2 linked regions of the Caenorhabditis elegans genome follow. The protein of the gene in region 1 interacts with the protein of each later gene in a pairwise test. Each region holds a gene or a part of one and is shown on either strand. Other genes may lie near its edges.

The links.
Region 2: the proteins of unc-10 (region 1) and rab-3 interact in a two-hybrid assay, tested with the Caenorhabditis elegans proteins (one study listed by BioGRID).

Annotation. Positions count from the first base shown.
Region 1 is NC_003284.9:7,274,974-7,284,473, reverse strand, and holds the start of unc-10 (Rab-3-interacting molecule unc-10), read left to right. Parts: upstream 1-4,151; 5' UTR 4,152-4,172; coding exon 4,173-4,241; intron 4,242-4,390; exon of another isoform or gene 4,391-4,529; intron 4,530-4,574; coding exon 4,575-4,624; intron 4,625-4,683; coding exon 4,684-4,817; intron 4,818-4,871; exon of another isoform or gene 4,872-4,956; intron 4,957-4,996; coding exon 4,997-5,067; intron 5,068-5,481; coding exon 5,482-5,669; intron 5,670-5,782; coding exon 5,783-6,119; intron 6,120-6,176; coding exon 6,177-6,321; intron 6,322-6,430; coding exon 6,431-6,519; intron 6,520-6,726; coding exon 6,727-6,782; intron 6,783-6,829; coding exon 6,830-7,011; intron 7,012-7,070; coding exon 7,071-7,170; intron 7,171-7,519; coding exon 7,520-7,692; coding exon of another isoform or gene 7,693-7,698; intron 7,699-7,745; coding exon 7,746-8,029; intron 8,030-8,128; coding exon 8,129-8,333; intron 8,334-8,381; coding exon 8,382-8,505; intron 8,506-8,562; coding exon 8,563-8,690; intron 8,691-8,736; coding exon 8,737-8,850; and 4 more. UniProt on the Caenorhabditis elegans protein: Regulates the efficiency of a post-docking step of the release pathway. Acts after vesicle docking likely via regulating priming. May regulate the conformational changes in syntaxin.
Region 2 is NC_003280.10:5,719,971-5,732,447, reverse strand, and holds rab-3 (Ras-related protein Rab-3), read left to right. Parts: upstream 1-4,594; 5' UTR 4,595-4,796; coding exon 4,797-4,838; intron 4,839-7,717; coding exon 7,718-7,789; intron 7,790-8,125; exon of another isoform or gene 8,126-8,293; intron 8,294-9,158; coding exon 9,159-9,433; intron 9,434-9,481; coding exon 9,482-9,606; intron 9,607-9,654; coding exon 9,655-9,761; intron 9,762-10,044; coding exon 10,045-10,125; 3' UTR 10,126-10,672; downstream 10,673-12,477. Other genes in the region: C18A3.11 (PAN-3 domain-containing protein), read right to left, coding at 707-1,042, 1,083-1,415; C18A3.7 (Der GTPase-activating protein YihI), read left to right, coding at 2,360-2,478, 2,526-2,625, 2,675-2,797; damt-1 (DNA N6-methyl methyltransferase), read right to left, coding at 10,673-10,781, 10,830-10,904, 11,224-11,526, 11,575-11,641, 11,689-11,927, 11,981-12,285. UniProt on the Caenorhabditis elegans protein: Involved in exocytosis by regulating a late step in synaptic vesicle fusion. Could play a role in neurotransmitter release by regulating membrane flow in the nerve terminal. Plays a role in the recruitment of endophilin unc-57 to synaptic vesicles.

The sequences.
Region 1 (9,500 bases):
AGAAAAACCAGCTTTATGAACTAAGCAGATAGCTAGTACCCAATAAAAACATTCCGAAATTTTCATGTATCCCGATGTATACTCCATTGATTATATTGCATCATTTTCCTCAAAATTACCAGGTTCTAAACATATTATTAATCTATAAGATATTAGACCAAATGCACATAGTGTAAAAGAAAATTTAGCATGTAATTATAGGATTCAAGCTTTTTTAATACCTTTCGAAATAGACCCCTATAATTTCTTCACTGATCTTTTTCAATCAGAACGAACATTTGTTTTTTGCTGCATTGAGGCAATCGAGCTAACAATTTTCAGACGGTAAAGTACCGAAATCTGTGGCCTTGCTCTTTTATACCGAAAAAAGTCTAAAACTATCTGATTGCGAAACAAGTCGTTCTGAAAATTAAAAAAAAAGTTATGCCGGATTAAAGTATTCGGAAAACAAGGCTAAATTTCAGCTAAAATCTTTATTTTCCAATTTATCAGTGCCGAAGTGCATTTGTACATTGTGCACCCATCGACATTAAAACAAAAACAATCTTAATCAACGGAACAAAACTTAATCAATTTCCGAATTATGCATAGTGATATTATGGAGAGAGAGAGTGATATTAGAATACAATTACTTCCATGAGTTGTGACTTTGATAAAATAAAAAATGTTTAGATTTTAGCTGAAAGTAAGTTTTATTCCGAAACTTTGAACCTCCTTAACTTTTTTTTTTTAATTTTTGGAATTTTTACAAAATCCGGTACTTTTGACTCATTTTAAATCTAAAAAGCAAATTCTAAAAGCGCGATGAGTGTGTCTATTCCACCTTTAAAAATATCTAAAAATACATGATTATTAAAAGTAGAATATAACACTTTTAACTCCCACTCCGGTAGTTTTTTTTTCAAATATAGCTTTTTGACCCATTGCATTTTGCGTTTTTTCACTTCACTTCCCCTTGCACCTGAAATATTCAATTTGCACCCAAAAAAGAGAGCACTTCTCTGTAGTACAAACATGCGCAGTCTGTTTCTATTCTTCCACAACTCTCTGCACCTTTGTTTCCATCAGTATTCCCACATGCACTTCTTTTCCTTGTGCCCTCCAAAAAATATTTTATTTTCTTACGAATCCCACGTTTTACCCACATTGTCAGTGGACCACTGATTGCTGTCAGCTTTTGCCAGGGAAAACCTTTTACCAATTTCTCTCTATCTTTCGTTGTCTTTTTTTTGAAAATTTTCATACACACATAAATGGACATACATTCTTGCGACAACGACACAAGACCCTTTCTGGGTCCTTCCTAACCTTTTTCCCTGCTCGAATGTTTGCAGACGCAATAGTTGAGTGATGTCAGTTATTGACGGAATGTTTTTTGCCTTCTCTCACGTCCACTTTTTCTTGCCCAATACGTTGAAACATTCGAACTGCGCTGAGAAATTGACTCTGTTTGAATTTTGTAAAATTTTCGATGGTAGTTTTTCTAGGTTTTAACTTAAAATTTGTAAATAGCTTTATTAAAACAAAAATAAATTTTTATTTTATTTTTTAATATACTTTGAAACATCTCCATGCTATTTTCAAACAGTTTTTGCTCAGTTCGTGAACTATTTTTTTCCGTACTTTTGAGAAAGTTTTGAATCTGAAAAAATACTTTCTGGATTTCATAAGTTGTTATTCCAAAATTATATATTTAAAATGCAACAATAACTTTCAAAATTATGCAAAAATTATTAAAAGATAAGAAAAACGGGTACTTGTGTATTACATGCCCTCATTTTAAAAGTAATTTTTTAAGATAAAAAAAATGAAAACGTGAAGCATATTCTTGTATTTTTGGGCTTAGGAAATAACCATTTCTAAGCCTAAAAAGGAAAAATGTAAAAAACCCACACACGCAACTTGGGTATTTCAAATATAGTGTTTTTAAAAGTGCATATTTTAAGAGTAATAGTATTAAATAATTTTGATGTGACTTCAATTGTTTTCAGGAACATTTTATGTTTACCATAACCACAAAAACATATACATAAGTAAAAAACAATCAATTGTTTTATCTCGTAGTGGGTTTTTATAGGTATACTTATATTATGATCACTCAAATAACAGATAGAGTTTGAAAACAATTTGAAAATATGTTAAATTGTCATTCATTTTTCAAACTTTGTCCAATTTGATGAAATGTGATTTGAATGCCTTATTTTTAGGTTCAGAAACAGTTTTGTCCTCAAGAAAACCGTACTACGTTTTCACATTCATAACTTTGAAATTCGTTCCGATAGCGTTCCGCTAATAAACAAGAACTCTCAAATGTCTCTGATATATAACAAATCTGAAAAGTATTAATGCACTTCCAAAAGGTAATCTTTATCTTTGAAACATCACATTTACCCATCTAGAAGTTTGTTAATTCTGTTTCTTGTCAGCTATATGAATTGATTCATAACGGATTTTGTCCGCCTTTTATATATCTTCTCATAGTTAATCTAATCTTCAAATCGTGAAAACTCTTTTCATATAACACATTTAGAAATCCAGCCGATGGAATAGGAAAATAGTATATATATATATATATATGGATATGGATATATAAGTGTTGCGAATGTTTAATATTCTCTTTTTTTGAAAAGTTTGTTCGATTGTTGAACAAAAATGTTTTGCTTTTGCTGTGAGTTTTAATAATTAGTTACTTCATAGTCCTAGTAGGAATTCTGAACGTATCTGAAAGGGCATTGAAGGGGCGTGAACTTTTTGGAAAGGTGATCCCTCGTCCTGTTCCCTGTTTGTCTGTCCCCTGTCCTCACCTCCTTCGTCTTCTTTTTCTGTCGTTTTATACTTCTCTTTGCTATGCATTCATGAACAGATAATCCAATTTGAGGCTGAGGCCTGCGTGTGTATGTGTGTGTATGTGTGGAGGCCCTCCAACGAAGAAAGAACAAAACTTGGCAATCTTGAGCATATTGGATAAGCTGCCCGCTGAGTTGCTAATTGTCAACGTTTGGCACAAACGCCACATAGAGCCATCTCGGGATGGAAAGGGAGAGAAGACTGGTTGGGGGAGAAAAGAAGGGTAGAGCCTTTGGAGCATTTTTGTGTTTTGCGGGCGTTGCTCCATCCCTTCGTCGTTTTCTCCACCCTGCGTTTGCGCATCAGTCGCCACACGCCGCTAGCCCCCGAGTCCTAAACCCCTCCCTCCCATCTACACACATCCATTTATTTATTAGAAGAGCTCTGAGTAAAACATGAACTATTCGCTATCCGTGGCCTTGTTTTATTCATTGCTTATATCGCATTCGCCCGGGTTTTCCTCCTGGGCGCGCCTTGTCTTTTTTCTTTTCCTCCCGTTTCACCTCCGTTTTTCCTTTCGCCCTCTTTCTCTTTCCTTACGGATACGGGAGGCTCCCCCCACCCCTATCTTCAAACCTTGTCTTTTTTCCGTGCTCAGGGAAACGAGCATGAATTCATTGTCTCAAATGAATGTCTCCTTTTGTGCATCATTAATCTTGCATCGAATTTTGCTTTTTATTCTTACATGCTTTTGTCCACTTTGCACAAGCTGTCCATTTTTTGTCAATTCAAACATCAGCTTGAACCTTTACCTGTCCATGGTTGGCCTTTTTTTATGGCGAAACCTGGCGAACCCAATATCCATCACCCTTCTATTCCTTTTCTTTTCCCGTTTTCCTTCGCTTCCCACTTCCCCACCTCCTACGCTTATTTCTTATTCCTTTCCCGTTTTAGTGCTCTCTTTCTCTTTTTTGCAAAAAGTTCTTGATAGCAGTAAAGAAAAGAAGAGGAAGACTATTTTTGGATGTCCCGAGTTTCCCACGGTATTCATCGACGTCGTCGTCGAAAATGACCACATCCAGTCTTACTGGGCGCTCATGTCTTGGAAAAGGCGTCATTTTTCAACGTTTCTAATCCCGGACGCTCTTATTTTTCCTCTCTCGGTTTCCCCATCTTTGACGCTGTTCTTTTTTTGTTTCAGCGTTGATCCTGTTTTCTTGTTGGCCTTTATTGACATACAACTCTTAAACCGAACAAATTCGTTTCTATTCTTTCTATTCGGATTGTTATCGCGCTTTAGTCTTTTTATACGCTATGATTTCACATGATGCAATAACTCCTTATTACCTTAAAAATCAAACTTCAGTGCCTCATTAAATATAATCATGGACGATCCGTCGATGATGCCGGATTTATCCCATTTATCTGCAGAAGAACGTGAAATAATAGAAAATGTGAGTTGTTCCAGCACGAACCCCCTCCCCCCCCCCCCCCCCCCCCATCGTTCATTTTGCCCATCCGTCTGCTTCTTGTGGGGTTCAAAAAAGTAGTTGGTGCGGTGTGAGTCCTCTGTCTCGGAGCATGACGGGCCCCCCGAGGGGTGAAAGAGCGAGAAAAGGGGAGGGGTATTACTTACAACGCCGTGAGCACACGCAAAATAATGGATATGCAATCAAACGAGTGTGTGCTCTTATGTACATTCGACAAGAAAATTGGCATGATATCATGCGTGCACATACATATAGAGAATACTCACTCAGAACGCTCATGATTTATGTTTTTTGCAGGTCTTCAAACGACAAAAAGATGAGGAGGCAAAAGAAACACAAATATCACAGTAAGAGTTTTGTAGACACATAATTGCATTGGTATTTCTTCATGCGAATGATTTTCCAGAAAAGCATCTGAAGAATTGTCAGAGTTAGACAAACAGATCACGGAGCGGAAAGAAACATCGAAAAAGCTGGTTGGCACACAAGATGACGCGATCTGTCAAATCTGTCAGAAGACCAAATTTGCGGACGGAATTGGTACGTTGTTCCTTTTCCTGAAGAAGCGATGAGAGCAAAGGGTCCTTCTGTCGCCCTGAGATGAGCCTCGTTTTCTGTTCCTAGTAATTCTCTCCGCGGCGTCAGAGAGCCCCTAACCCTTGGCTGTCATCGTCTCTCTAAAAGGACATCAATTTAGCACAAGATGAGAGGTTTTTCAGGCCACAAGTGCTTTTATTGTCAATTGCGTAGCTGCGCCAGATGTGGAGGTAGAGCACAGAGCAAAAATAAGGTACGAGCGGGAGTGAAAGTGTGGGATGAAATAAGGGGAAACATGAAAGAGAAAGGACAAATTCTGGATGACTGCATTTGAATAACAGAATAAAAACCAATTTGAGCAAAATCGACTTGAACATTTTTGCGATATGATGTTGCAATGTTTATATTTTCACAAAAAAAATCTAAACTTTACAATTTATTATAAAATCATGTTTAATTTTATAGTTAATGAATCTAATTTGGAAATCAAGCGAAATAATCGTTTTTACATCTAAAAAAATACGACAGAAGCTGAAAAACAATAGCATCCATTGTTTGCAAAGTAGTTTGGAATAAAGAGATAAATAGAAAGTATTAGCCCCGTGGGTGCACCGACCGATAAAAAAGTAGAGAAGTGAATTGAAGAGAAGAAGTAAAAAGCTTTCAGGCAATCTGGGCTTGTTCGTTGTGCCAGAAACGTCAACAAATTCTTGCCAAAACAGGCAAATGGTTCCAACCCGAAGAGCAGCCGCAGCCGAAAATTAGCGGCTCCGAGCCAAGCCCTTCGCCCCAACCACTAACTGACGACAACGTACCAGAACCGCAGCAGAGGCGAGCAGAGCCGCCTGATAAAATGTGAGTTTCTTCCGGTTTCTTTTACTTTTCCAAGTTTGTGTTTGATTGTTACATGTTCCTTTGAAGCGTTAGTTTCAATCAATCACAATTCAGACTAATTTTCATATTTTCAGGAACACTCCAAATTATCAAAACAACCAACAACCCCGTGGAATGGGAATGCAGCCAAATCATAATCAAACTCAGCAGAATTTCATGAATCAGAACCAAAATTCAAATCAACATCCAAATCAAAACCACAATCAGAATCAAATGCAGAACCCGCATCAAAATCAAAATCATGTTCAAAATAATCATCAAGGAGCCAACAATCATCAACAGAATAATCGAAGAGCTATGCAACAACAGCCAATGAGTCAAAATCAGGCAAATCAGATAAATCAGATGAATCAAAACCAAAATCAACAACAGAGCCACAATCAGAATATGACTCAAAACCAGAGAAACCAGGTACTTGAAGTTGGAAAGTTCCACGATTATTTCAAATTCTACATGTAAATAATTCAGACTGGCCCCCAAAACCAACAAAGGACAAATGACTCTCGAACTATGAAACAAACGCCTCAACAGCAGCCCAGTCAGTATCAAAACAACGTAGGCGCGGCACATCAACACCATAATCAACATGGACAACAAGAGCAGCATCATCAACGTAAGAGCCTCCAGGGGTATAAAAAGAGAAAGTGAAAAACAAAACAAAAAAGTGTTGTGCGCTAAAATTGCGAACGAGACGCAAATTGATATAGTCTGGATAATTTCAGAAATGAATGAACAACGGACGGATAACAACAGAATGAGAGAGAATACTAACGGGCAAGGAGGAATGTTCAATAGGCAGCCGTCATTAGAGGTGAAGGGATCAGGGATATCAAAAACGAGCTTTTGAAAAAAGATTGAGCAGCTTATTATTAGGGTGATACTTCTGTAAAAGTAATGAACAAATGTGAAGAATCATCTAGAGCGGAAAATTTGGTCAGAATTACAGTACTGTCGTACAAAGTTCAGAGTAGAAAAATATATTAAAATGAAAAAAAAAACGAAATTGTTTCTAATTTAGCAAACTACGCCCATGAACAAATACAATCACGTTGAGGATGATGGCATGAACCAGCGGTAAGTATCCCATAAAGTTTAAAAACTTGATACCCACTTGCTTTCAGACCCACGTTCTACACTGGAAATTCCGAGAATGACCAAAGACAATTTGATGGCCAAATGCAACAGGGCTCACAACAAAATAATCAGAATCAGAACCAAAACAACCGAAATCTTAGAAAAAACACAGTCAGCCGGGTAACAGAGGAGGATTATGCAAGTTCGTCAAACTTCGAATCTAAGAAACGTAAGATGATATCATATCGATAATACCTTGCTAAATTCTATTTTGAGAATCAATTTCAGAGCGGAACAACTCTTCACAGAGTCAGTCCAACACGCAAGGCGTGCGAGCATGTCCTTCTACTGACGACCATTTGAACCGGGTGAAAAATCGATTGCATAGGTGAGCAAGTGTAATTTGGCTAATGGAAAAAATAGACAAACTCAATTGAGTAATGTCTTTTTTGTACTAAGTGCTCAAGCTTTGAGTTCATTGCTTTCCCTCTTCCAGTTACGTCTCCATTTTCTCATTATTTAGCATGACTTCCTTTTTGTTCTGCTGATCACTTTTTTAGTCAAACCAACAGCAAAACAGAAACCAGAAGAGCGCCTTTCGGTTTCAATGCAAATTTTTAATGAGCATTGCCTCATTTAGCTTTTTTCGCTCTTCATCAGTAGTTCAATTTCACATAAACTGCATTTTTTGTCATACATTCTTCTTCATTTTATTTGTTCAAAGTAATTGTTTGAAGGCAACTTCGATCAATGTCATCTTCTGAAGAGGATATTATTGCTGGAGGCGGTGGTAACACTTTGAAGATGTCTACGTCAGCAGTTGTGGCCTCTGGTGGGAAAACCGCATTTCATGATGATATGGGAGCGTCGAATGTGCAGAGGTTGTCCGAGGAATGCAATTCTGAGAAGGGTTTGTGTGCGTACTCTTGAAATCCCATGTTGACATTTTGATGAGTTTTTCAGACCTCCTTCGATATATTTATGGCGATCATAAAAACTCGGATTCATCGTCGTTGGGCGCTGGTGTAGGCGGCAGTGGTGGTGGCGGTGTCTTGAGCGGAAACAGCGTGCTGAAAAGTAAATCACATGCTTTACTGAAGGGGTCTTACCAAGGGGGTTTAGACATGCAAGCTAATCGAAGGCGTGACAAATCGCTGTCCTTGTCACCATCGAGAAATGATCATTTTGGAACAGGGAGCATATCTGGCGGAGATTTGTTGGCATCACGGATACGAACATTTTTATCAGTAAGCCTGTTTTGATACAAAAATTATAACTAAATGTCCTACATATTCAAAAAAAAAAGTTTAAAAGTTTGACAAGTTTCCAATTGGCAATGTTTTCAGCATCCTGTAACATGGCAACCTTCTGCTGATCAGAAAAAATTAATAGGGCACATGATACTTCATCGAACTGAAAATTCTGCAGCCAACGGGGATCTCGGTTTAAAAATTGTAGGCGGCCGAAGAACGGATACCGGGAAGCTCGGTGCATTCATTACTCAAGTTAAGCCTGGCAGTGTGGCGGACACCATTGGAAGACTCCGTCCTGGTAATGAGTTTTGAAGTGAGAGACTTTTTTCTTCAACTTTTTTTTCAGGCGATGAAGTAGTAGAATGGAATGGACAGTCTCTGCAAAATGCCACATATGAACAAGTATATGATAGCATCGCTGCAAGCAGATATGATACTTCTGTCGAGCTGATTGTTAGTAGGAGTGCAATGTAAATATACATTTTATTTTTAAACTCTGTCAACATTTTTAAATCTCGTCTTTCCAGTATTCCTGGAGGTGACGACTTCCTCAACCTTACTCCCTCACAAATGTCATCCTCGGCGTATTCAAGAGTGCCATCTGCATATCCATCTCAATTTCAGCGTCAATTACCCAACCCTGACCTTTTTCTTGGTACAATTAGAACTGAGAACTTCAGAATTAAATAATTTGTTTTCAGACATACATCCCGCTTTACAACAATTATCATTACCACATTCACAATCAGCCGTATTCCCTCATAATAACACATTGACTTCACGCAATCGTTCGACATCAAGCTATTATTATTCAGGTATTCTAACCATGTTAACTTTGGTGTAGATATTTTTTTTTGATGAAAAATAGTTCACATTTTGTTAAAATGTCATCATGATTTTTTTCTAGATGTGCCCGACCTTGGTGTTCCAAGCAATAGGGAGATGCAGGAGAGCCAAGCTTTTGGAACAGGACACATATTTGGACGAATAGAAGTTTCATTTGTGTATTCTCATCATGATCGACAACTCTCAGTTGCTCTCGTTCGTGGGTTTGATCTACCACCAAGATCCGACGGGACTCCCAGAAACCCATATGTGAAAATATTTTTACTGCCTGATAGAAGTGAAAAATCTAGACGGCAGTCTGCTGTTATAGCAGAGACACTCATGCCAGTTTGGGATGAAGTTTTTTACTATAATGGCCTTACTGAACCGATGTTGTTGCAAAGAGTACTAGAGGTTTGTTTTTAACTTTTTAAATTTTGTTTGCATACTGAAACTTAACTTTTTAGCTAACTGTCTGGGATTACGACAAATTTGGTACAAACAGTTTTCTTGGCGAGACATTGATTGATTTGGCGTCAGTGCCACTTGATGGAGAACATTCACTCATGTGCATTCTTGTTGATATGGATGACGATAACCCGCTGAGAACGGTAATTAGTATTTTCAAATTCCATGTTAT
Region 2 (12,477 bases), on another chromosome or scaffold:
ACTTCACCGATTCACTCTCATTATTTATTGACTTGTTAGCATTCCGAAACTTACGCAACTCACTTCACTCTTCTTTACATTTTGTCATTATTAAAAAATGTCTTCAAATACCATTTGAGACGGCGTGTGTGCATCTACAGTAATACCTAGAGAGACTCAGTGGAGCGGAATGAAATTTGCGTCAATTCACGTCAATTGTTGATGGATAAGCGATTGGTAAGGGAGATGGATAAAAAATGAATAGAAAATAGATGCTGTTTGAATATTAATAGGAATTTATTGACTTATGGTATAAAATAAAGTTAACAAATGTTATTCCTACAATTTAAAACTAGACAAGTTTATATCCACAGGCCACTCCATTTGACACACCAGTACATGAAACGTCATTCAGTCTTTTCCAGGGTTTGATATCCACACTTGTCAAACAGTTTTCAGGTTCTCGACTAAAATGAGTTTGTTCTATTAGGAATGTGGATTCTGGCCGCTTACTTATTATTTATATGCGAAAAATCGGTATGGCTGGGATTTACCGCACTTTTTGAAACTGTATATCCATCACTCCATTCGAAATTCTAAAAGTTACGAAATTCAAGTCACCATAATTTTTAAATACAGTACATTGCATTTTATATTTGTTTCATTACAAACTCGAATTCCATCTACCCAAAATCTATTGCCAAATTTCGTTATTTCGTTGACTTCTTTAACTCTGCCTGTAAGAACTGTTTTTTTTTTTTGAAAAATAACAGATCTCACTCCGAAGCCATGAAGATTCATCAGTAGAAGCAACCCCAGTCAGTTTGTAGCCCATCCCTTCACAAAACAATATGGATTCATTCCTTGTAATCGGTTTTGAAAAATTGAATGTCTGCATGCAGACAACATCTGAATTCTCTCTATGAAACATTGTCCAATCTCCAACACATTTATCAAATGTCCATCCATTTTCAGTTTTCTTCCATGATATCGAGGTACCATTGAATGTAACAAATAAATCGAGGTTATCATATGAAGGACAGTTATCGGTCGGAAGAGTTGTCTGAAGGCAATGTTTTTAAACGGTATATAAAGGTACTGACTTTAATGGCAACCATATATCTTTCTGCTCGAGTATTCTCTAAAACTGTCAAATGTTCCGTTTGATTGAAGCCAAGAAGTACACAATAGTCATCTAAATTCATAAATGCCAAAATACAATCTTCTTGTTCAAAACAATTATCAACGCATTCTTTGTTTGAGATAATATTTCCACTTTGGATATCTACTTTCTCTACCATCCCGAATATTTTCATCATTTTCAGTTCGCCTAAAACTATATTATAGAAAAAAATTGTTTTGTTTTGCCAACCTGAGTTACAGACTCCCACAAACAGAATGAGATGGAGAAAAATCAAATTATAATTCAGATGCATTGAAAGTAGGCAGTCGAAAAAAGAAAATGTGAGATGTCTAGAAGAGTGTTGTAAAGTTGTAAGTAGGATGTTTCCATAGAGAGCATAATTTATGGCTTGAAGTTAGAAGATTTAATTTCACAGTTTTATGTTTAAACCAGACTACAAAAAAATCACATAACAATGATCAAACTTTTTTCAGGTCTTGGGCATCGGTCAGTCTCTGGTCAATCGTGCTAAATCACGAGGATCTCCACTAGGTGACAAGGCTTTCCAACTTTTCATTTCAAGAGATCTCTTCCAGAAGCCCTAATTGAACAATGATATATCCAACATCTGACCAATGTATGTTCAAGATGTACTTAAGGACTCTTCACAACATTTAGGTGTAAGTTACCAACAGTTGGTCAAAACCACTGTCGAGAACTTGATCTGTTCCAAAATTATGTTAGTTGATTTTTTCAATTATTTTATTTCAAATTCTGACTCTACAATTAAAAGTGAAATAATAAATTGTTTTTTAATGACACGGCAACAAACTACGTTGTGTTATGAACTTTCCAAAACATCCACGTGACTTAGTTTTTAGTTCCCTCGGAAGAAATAAATTCAGTTTAACTTTTACGAGCATCAAAGTTGTTCAAAATTTTCATTGCCGGATTGATTTTTTAGCTGCATTGCTGACAAGTGAGTTGAAATTACAGACATTTCAGGTACTATTGTATATGTCATTCGGGTTCAGATTTTTAGCCAGAGTTTAATTTCTTATTTCCAACTTGGCATATTTTAACTATTTATTTGACAAACTACGGAGATTTGCTTTCCACGAAACCTCAGCTTTTGGTAACTCTTGAGCTGCTGAAACTATTGATTGCTTGGTAAATTCACGTCATGCTGATGTCCAAAATTTTAAATCAAAATCAAGTGGATACCTCTTTTCAATTTATATTCTCAGGATCAAAAGAATGGACAAAGGAAAAGGTTCAAAAAGATCAACACCAAGTTTGCGCGCCAAGAAGAAAACTGGCACGGATAGACAGAAGCCGTCTGTAAAACAAAATGCATCTCAAAACTCAAAGAAGAGGTAATTTAATATATCTTTGAACTGGCTTTTAATATTTCAATTTTCAGTAGCAGACAGAAAAAGACCCCCAGTGTTGGAAAAGAACGGGAACAAGCAACGGATAAGAAACGAGAAATTGAGAAAAAACCACAGGAAAAGACTGCTTTGGTCAGTTGGAGAAATAATACGTAATCGATTACAATTGTTTTGTTTTCAGGATGAGCAGCAAAGGAAAGCTCAAACGGAGACTATCAGCAACTTGGAAATCCTTCCGGACAAGAATCCTGCTAAAATGGATGACGGTTATGAAGATTTCGGTCCTGGTGCAGCTGCTCGCTAAGTGCATCTTCTTTTGAGAATTCTGGTTTCTGGGAAATAAAGTGCTTATACTTTCCTCACGTTTACTACATATAATGCATTTGGGATGTTTTTTCTCAGTTTTAATAAATAATTTTGTATAGTTTCCTTCAAAGCACAACTAACAAAACGAGAAGGTTTAATGTTAAACATGTCGAAATATGAAGTCGCAATTCCCCTAGAGGTGTTTTAAATAAACACTTCTTCTCTTTTGGAATAACTGCTCCACTAAACTGTTCACACAGGAGCAGGAGAGCCTACCGATGAGCCTATAAGACTTGTGTAATTCATCTGAACAATTTTATACGAAACATGGGAAGTTTGAAGTTTTTTGCAGTGGTTTACAGTTTTCGCCAATGACTTGGTCTTAGACTGCTTTTGTTGTTTGCATTTAACATTGAAAGTGACCAGTAGTTGTCAAAAGAAGAACTTCAGCCAAAAATTGTAAAGCCTTGCAAAAAAATGCACGTTTGTCCGAGTTTAGTACAAAGTACAGTCTTTTAAACAAAAACCCAAAGGAGCGAGTTTTGACTGGCTTTCAAAAACTGAGTGATTACTAATTATTTTTGAAAAAATTAACAGTTGTGATATGATATTTAGACATTTTTGCAATATATAATTTGTTTGAAAAAAAAACATTTTTTAATGGTCTTCGAAGCTATAATAGTTTTTCGTAAAATTTTAAATAAAACAGCTGACAGATATCCACATTCAATAATTGAAAGTATGCAGTTCTCTTTTTTTTTGTCAAATAGAAAAAAAGTAACAGATGGTCAGATATAATCTAGGTTAATCTGACTCTGGTCATCGATGAACTCATTTTCATCATAATCATTCTTCTTTCAAATGGTCTGTTCGGAATTCGAATATTCAATAAATGGATATCTTATTAGATGCTCCGGATTTATTCCACCAAACTTCCAAGACGTAAGTTCAATTTAAACAAAATTACTATAGCTTGAAAAAATGAGAAAAAACGAGCAGATAAAAAAATAACAGAAAAAATCCATAAAAATGACGAGGGTTCCGTGCGAAAATCGTCATTGTTTTTGGCTTGCATCACACTTTTCCGCGAGTCAGCCACACTGTTTTATCGATTATTATTTTTCTGATTTCAGAAACCGGAAACTTACAACTGAGATGCTTTCATTTTGATTTTTTTAAATTTAGTTTTGATTTCAGCGATTTGTTTGAATATAATTATGCATGAGTTGGCTTTTGCATTTTTAGATAAATAAGTTCACATGCTCGGACAAATTGTGTGGTTTAATCTGTGAAAGTTTTGAATCTTCTGTTTGAAAAAAAAACATTTTTAATTTGTATATACGAGTGAATTGGTTAGGCCCTGGTTACGTTTTCCAGCGAATTCATTCAAATTTCTTATTTTTTCTATTTTTTCAATTAAATAATTTAGTTCTCTATCACATGTGTATGATCAAAATTTCATTCCTAATCGTAAGCAAATTTAGGCTCATCCGTAGTATAATTTTGTTATGAAGGGCTTCACAGTAAAAGCTCAAACTCCAACATTTAGCAACTAGCAACCAACAAAAAACCAAAGAAATGTCAGTTTTGAAAAGTCGTTATTTCTTTGTCTTCTCACAATTCACACATCATCTTCTCGTTTTCCTCCGTTTTTTTGTCGTGCTTCCTTCTTTTCTTTACACATTTTTCTAACCTTTTTTTAAGTCTATCCTCTCCTAATCCTTTGTACTCTCTAATCAGTTTTGCTGGTTGTGCTGCACAATTTTTATCAGATTTATGCGCGAAACAAAAGCCTCTCGCGGAGAGCTCCGCCAAATCCGGTCTTCTTTTTTCCTTGCCTATCGGATTTCACAAACATTCAGTTTGTCACTTGACGATGTGTTGGAGGCATTACTACTAGGAAGTGTTATTCATATTTTTTATTCGTTTCTTTTTGGTGACTAAACGAAATATTCCGAACGTTTTCCTGATTTCAGGCGGCGGAAACGAAGAAGACCATGAATAATCAACAGGCTGCCATTGCATCCGCCAGAAGTCGAGTGAGTTCTTTGAAAATCTTTATTAGAGTTATTTGTGACAATTTGCCACTTTTTTTTTAATGTTTAATGAATCTGTAACGAAATTAATACCAAGGGTGTCCAACAGAACTATCTGAGCGGTTATTTAATTTTTAGATAGTATATTTCTTCCGATCGTAACATACATATTTTCAAGCATAGTACTGTGATTTAAGTTACAGTTTTCCAATCAGTCTTGATTTTAATAAAAACTTTTCAACTGCAAAAATGCCTCTGAAGTATTTTTCTATATTTTTATAGTTGAATAATTTTTTGATTGGCACAAAGACCGCCGAGATATGAGCCGTTAAAGTAAAGCTGCATGGATTCAATATGGTTTGTATTTGATTGGAGTCACTTACATGGAAATATTTGTATTTAAATCTCATATTTTAAAACAAGACAAACACCAAATTAAATTTTTATTAATCTGAACATTTTTCAATCGATTTGGTAAACAAATTATTAGATGTTTCCCTCAAAAATTGTAACAATTCCTAAATTGTGGCACTTATAATAACATCGTCCTGAATTCTCAAAAAAAACCGAATGCTAAGAGAGATTTCGTTTAACTGGGACCTGTAACTGAATTTTCAAATATTGGCAGTTTTTGATAAACTGGGAGGGAAATCAAAAACCAAAACTACAGTACCCCTCGTGTTATAATAAATTGTCATTCACTCCTTTTTTGTTCCCAACATTTGCTCCCATCTCCTGACGAGAAAGAACAATTTTATGAGCACGGGAACCCGTGGGCGTCCATCCGTTCCTCCTGTGCAATTTCAGCCCCCTTCCTCTACATTCTCTGTGTTCCCGTTTTTATCGTTTTATGGGTATCGGGAACGGACAGATCGCTTCCATTTGCTTCTATTCCGTCCTCACAAGACGTCCCACTAACTGATTTTCTTCTGATTTCTTTTCACTGAAAATGGGAAAGAAAGAAAAAGACGATGAATCGACGACTTCTTCTCAGGAGAAGGTGAAGAAGAAGGATAAGGAGAAAGTTCATCTAAGGCTGAAAGATAAAGTAAAAAAACTTAGAAAATCTAAGTCGATTGCAGTATCTTCTCCAGCTGATTATATGACTTGTCAGTGTGAACCATGCAAAAAAGTAGCTCTCGAGGTAATAATTTTTAAACTCAATACGTAGTTAAGTTTGAACTCCTTTTAATTTACTTATCATCTAATTTACCGTCACAATAGTACTTCCATTAGCAATTATTTTAAAATTACATGCATAGCTTCAATGTTCGTTTTTTTGCGTTCTCATATCGTATGTTGTCTGCCTCTCGAATACTGACTGTCCGACTAGAATGTCCCGGTAGGATTACTGTACGGTCACTGGGAATAAACTGTTTCTGAAATCAATCTGAAATTCCGTAGATCTTCTTGGTTCAATTTCTTATTCCTCAATCTTTGGACAACGTCACCTTCAGAGTCGTCGTTGAGTATCCCATCATTAACTAGTCAATCTTTCTCTCTTTTTCATTTCCCCCAACTTTTCTGCATATTTTTTGACGACGACGACCTCGACGGCAACGAGAATACATTTATCTATTTTTTAGTATAGCATATATACATTTTCTACTTTTCTCTAACCCATTTCAGACGTATAGATTTTGGTTTTCGAATGCAACTTTGAGATTTTTCAAAGATCTTCAGATGGGAGCAGTGGACTGTCTATTTGATATTCTTAAAATGTACTCTATAAAAGATGAAACTGTAATGACCAATTCCCTACATAAATATTTTTAACTAATTGGTCGGATATTTGGGGATCAGAGAAGTACTTGTTTTTGCGATATTAATAATGATATATTTTTCTAGTAAAAAAATGTTAAGCGATTTGTGAATAATTAAGTTGGCTTGAAAAAGATTTTTTGATAGCTATGTATTTTGTTAATTTAAATCAGATTTTAAAACTTTATTATTGACTATTTATATATATTATATATTATATATTTTCATGGTTTAATCAAAATCTATTAAATTATTTCTAAAATCTCTAAATATCGAATTCTCTAAAAAGCTTCATCAACAAAAGCATTTCAATTATCTAACACAATGAGAATAATTCAAGAACTGAAATAGAAAGAAATCTAGAAAAAAAAGAGAGTGAGGTGCCCTATTAAATCGGTGCTCTCCTCTCTAACAGAAGCGCCTACACGCACCCAAGAGAGCTCTTTTTCTTTCTTTTTTCGGAGCACACATACACGCATACACTCCTCAGAAGTGTATAGAGAAAATGGGAGAAGAAGCGAAAGAAGACGAAGAAGCGGTTGTGATGTATGCATCGGGCGTTTCTATCTCTCTCCGTGAGCAACGAGCTAGTCAACCCATCGATCCATTTTTGTGAGCACACACAGAGAGAGACTCAAACACACTCACAGCTTCACACTGAGCTCCAAGAGCTCTGTAGAGAGAAGCCAGAGTATGCTTTCCTCGATTTTCCTAACGTCTTCTTCTTCTGCTTTTTTCTTTTTCCCAACGAGTTGTAGTCCACTAACTTCAATTTTTCCTCCAGAGAAAGAGTTTTAGAGAGACAGCTGATAAATACACTAGAGAAATAAAAAGAATGATAAAAATTTGCTATTTTAATCAGTTCCCTCTCGTTTCTCTAAGTTTTGTTGTTGGGTTGGGAAATTAAAATTGGAAAATGGAAATAACGTTTTTTTCTGTCTAATCTTGAATTCTCCAGACATTTCTTATTTCCTTTTTTGTTGCAAGTTTTTCTTCCTTCTCTAATTTTTAATCAAAGATATCTCGCTATGAACTTTGAATTTTTGATATTTTGATTCTATAAATACATAAAGTAATCTAAATGCTCTTTTAAAATAAATCTACAGTAGCCCTATTTTCAGATGGCGGCTGGCGGACAACCTCAAGGCGCTACACCGGGACAACCCGATCAGAACTTTGACTACATGTTCAAGGTGAGAAGAGCTTTTTAAAGTGGAGGCTTAAGATATTTATTATGAAATATTTATGATGTTGTTGACCTAGTTGGTAGGGTGTTTTGAAATGTAGAAGTTGAAATAAAATATCATATAAATATAGGCATGCCATCCCTATTAGTAACTATTTTTCAATAGCGCTTTTTATAAAAGGGTGAGATAATTCATTAAATCTTTGGGGATATTAAGAGGGACAGGATCAACTAATAGATTAAAAAAAAGTTTTAACTGGTATTTTCAAAAAAACCGCCCGGAATCGCCTCCTAAAAACTCTATAAAAAGACCTTTAAAAAATGCATTTAAAAATTTGATTTTATTTCACAACAGATCATAGTTTGCTTAATTTTTTTTTTAATTTTTGATTACTTAAAAGTCCTTTACAAAATTTTGCCAAACGACCAGTTTGAAAAATAATTGCGTTGTTAATTTGATCTAAAAACAGATTTAAAGTTTGTTTCTTCATTTTTTCCAAGTAACTAACTACATACATATAATTGCACCCTCTCATTCGTTTTTTTAAAACAAAAATTCAGAATGAATATTTTTTTTCTAGTAATTATTCTAACTAATTACTGTGTCTCTCGTTCTTTTTCCTACAATTTTCATTTTCCCTCCTCTACACGTTTTTCTCTTCGCCCGTAATTTCCAGTCGAGTGCTCTTTTTCCAACTCTCCATCCTCTCTTTGAGCTTCCCGTTGCTCCCAGAAGAAAAGAGGAAATTCGTTGGAAAAAAAAACTTTCACTTTTCTTTCTTCCATCCTTCAGAAATAGGGAGAGGAAAAGAATCGATGGGTGTCTCTGGGAGACTCTCTGGTTTCATATTTTATTTGACAAACCGGGACTCACTTTTTCGTAGAATAAAAGGGAGTGAGAGATGGAAATGGAAGAAGAATGGAAAAATGAGAAGAGCTACACGAATTCTGTTGCGAATATGAATAACACGAGAAAAGGAAATAAAAAAGAAAAAGAAATAGCTCGCAAAAAAAACTAAATTTGGCGGGGGAATCTGAAGATTGGGATAAATTTTTATTGACTGTGGAAAAGTGACAATTACTCAATTTTGCAAAACTTATCTTAGGTTTCAAATATATATATATATATATATATATATATATATATATTTTATCTTAGGTTTCAAATACCTAAATTTGAACATTTTTGGAAATGATAGCAATACTCCAAATTCAACAAAAATTCCAATCTTCGAAGGGTTCAATTTTAATGTTTACTTTTTTTTGGAATGTTATGAGAGTATTTATAAAAATTCCAGCAGACAATACTTCGCCTTTGAATAGATAAGAAACCGCAAAAATTGCCCAATCCTAAAATTTTATCCTAATTTTTTCAGCTCCTGATAATCGGAAATTCATCAGTTGGAAAAACATCATTCCTCTTCCGTTACTGTGATGATTCATTCACTTCTGCCTTCGTCTCTACTGTCGGAATCGATTTCAAAGTGAAAACTGTGTTCCGTGGAGACAAACGAGTCAAACTTCAAATCTGGGATACCGCCGGACAGGAGAGGTACCGTACCATCACCACCGCCTACTATCGTGGAGCAATGGGATTCATTCTGATGTATGACATCACTAATGAAGAGTCTTTTAATAGTGTTCAGGATTGGTATGTTGAGCATGGTTTTAAGAAAATATGTATCTTGATTCATTTCAGGTGCACTCAAATCAAGACATACTCATGGGAAAATGCTCAAGTTGTTTTGGTTGGAAATAAATGTGATATGGACTCTGAAAGAGTTGTATCTATGGATAGGGGACGCCAACTTGCTGATCAACTTGGTAAGTATTTTGAGAAAAAATTGTGCTGAAAAACGAATTTAATTTTAGGTTTGGAATTCTTCGAAACATCAGCCAAGGAGAACATTAATGTAAAGGCAGTTTTTGAGAAGTTGGTGGAGATTATTTGTGATAAGATGGCAGAGAGTTTGGATAAGGTATGGTTTTGGAATTGTAGATTTTTTAACTTGTTTTTATTTTTGAAAAAAAAACGTAAATTTTATGTATATAGAAAATGGCATGATAGAGATTTATATTCTAACGGTCTCATGGGCCTCATGATTTCCTGCATCTGAAAATTTTAGTTCGCTTCAAAACCCGGGGCATTATCTTTTTTTGAAAAACATTGCAATTTTTGTAAACAAATTATAATTTACAATTTATGTTAGTTTATAAAACACTTCCTCTTAATAAAAATCTTATTAAAAGTAGTTTTTTCAGGACCCACAGCAACAGCCAAAAGGACAGAAGCTCGAAGCGAATCCGACCCAAAAGCCTGCTCAACAGCAATGCAATTGCTAAAAATTCTACGTTCTATTATACTATCTATAAAAACTCAAAATTTTCCCAAATTCCAAACGCAATAATATTAATTTTCTAAAAGCGCGTAGCTCTCAGTTTTCCCTCTCTCAACATCTAGGCACCAGATATATGGATCGTAAATTAACTTATAAATCGAATTTCTATGATTTTTTGGAAAGTAAGTTTTTTTTTAAATTTAACTTATTTTATTTTAGGGCGTAGTTGGTTTAATTATCTTTTCAAATCCTTTTCACTGTCACTTATTAAGTTTTCATTCAGCGCTATTTTTATTAATATTTTAACTTATTCCAACGTTCAATCATATTCCCCATTTGTAAAAAATCAACAATTTCTCTCAACACTTCCAAACAATTCCCAGAGCTGTGTTTTCTAACTAATCATAGTCGCCTATTATTATTATTATTTTATTTATTGTATTTCTCTATTTCCTTATTTCCTAGTGACTTCCCAGTTCCCAATGATTACACCCACCCGCTGAAAGATTGATTTTGGAGGAAATTATTTTCGAGGCATAATAAATTATTTATTACAAAGAGATATTTCGAGTGAAAACATGTTCAGATTGTAGAAGGAATGGTTCGTAACCAACACTGTGGGTTGATGGAAGAAGAGATCGGGCGAAGAGTTCCAGAGGTCTGTAATTTCAATTATTATATTTTGAATCCCAAATTTCAAAATCTGACTCTGTGAATTCGATTCCAAAATGACGGAGAAGATCGAGCAATGGAGGTTTGTGAGAGTGTACTGACATTGGAACGCTGAAATTGTATTTTATTGGATGTTTCTACTATTTTATCGATTCCCTAAAAAGTGTGATTTTTGATTCTAATCATGGCATAGTGTCCTAGCACGAGCGAAACTTTTCACCCTTCCGTACCCCCACAAGTACTGTAGAGTTGCACTTTTAGTAATTTTACTGATTTGACTTTGAAAAAAAAACAAAAAATGATTGAGAAAATAGTGATAAATGTAAAGAAAATTGGGTTACGGTAACTGAAACATTTCTTCCGTCGCAGGACCCAAGATCTCGGTTTGTGATAAAAAATCAATTTTTGCAAAAAGTTAATAAAACGCCACCTGGCAAAAACAAAATTCTCCGGCAACTCAAACTTTCTCATCGAATCCTTTTTCTTCGCCAACATCAGTGATTCAAATGGAACTTTATGTTTTTGGTTATCAAAATCATAAACTGGATCTCCTTGTGTTGTGATTTTCAGCAATTTCCAAGTGGCAACAACTTCCATTCCCCATTTATCGAATCTTTCTATCATTTCTTCCTCAATTCCTATCCGATTTGTGATCCAGAAAGCAATCAGAGCATCATGAGTTAATATGACAGGAATATCGAGACAATCTAGAACTTCTTCGTCCATTTGATATCTGGAAATAAATGCATCTGTGGAGTTTCTTGAAAATTTCAAAACGCACGTTCGTTTTCGTTTCACTGATTTACTGAACCATGGTGGATCGGCAATGATCAAGTCGAAGAGGAGATCTGGAATCTAATACTTTAACATTTCAAACAGGAATTTGAAAGCTAACCATGTGCTCTTGAATACTGTTCAATATCCTTCACATCTCCAACATGAAATGTAGATTTAGGAGGTATATAGAATTTTGTTCCGTCTGAATTTTCAATGATACCCGGCTTGTCGCCAGAGCACCGTACCCAATTGTTGATCATTCCATTCGACATTAAATTACTCAAGGATTCTGATTTCTGGAACTCGATTATTTGCTCTGAAGATGCAGAAGCACTGGGGATTGACACGTTCAACGCTCTGAAATATATAAATGTATGATATTTAGTTTACAGCATTTTTCATCCACTAACGTTTCCGCAGCTTTTCTGGATTTCAAATTATTGTCCAAGATTGATTTTTTCTTAAAAATTTTTAATTCAGTGCCAACATTTTTAATCTTTAATGCCATTTGTTCCATCCTATTTGAATTTTCTGAAGTTTCTTTAATTTTTCTTTTTCGATTTGAAATTCCGCGACGCTTGATGGCTTCGAATTGCGAATCGGGCATAAATTTTGAGCTGATCTCATATAATTCTGAGCGAGTTTTCAGATTTAGTTCTTTGAAGACTGAATCGTAGTATTTCTCTTCATCAAGAATCGCAAATTCTGTGTCCATGTGAACTATTGACATCTAAAACCTCATGTTCTGCCAAAAAAAAGCTCATTAACAGGTGATGAATGTATTTCCCAAAGACCCAGAATCTGTAGACATACTGAAAGGGAATTCGAAAAATGCAAATTTTTATTATTTAAAAAAAAAGACCGAGATCAGAACGATGAATTTCAAAATTATGCATCAATGGATTGG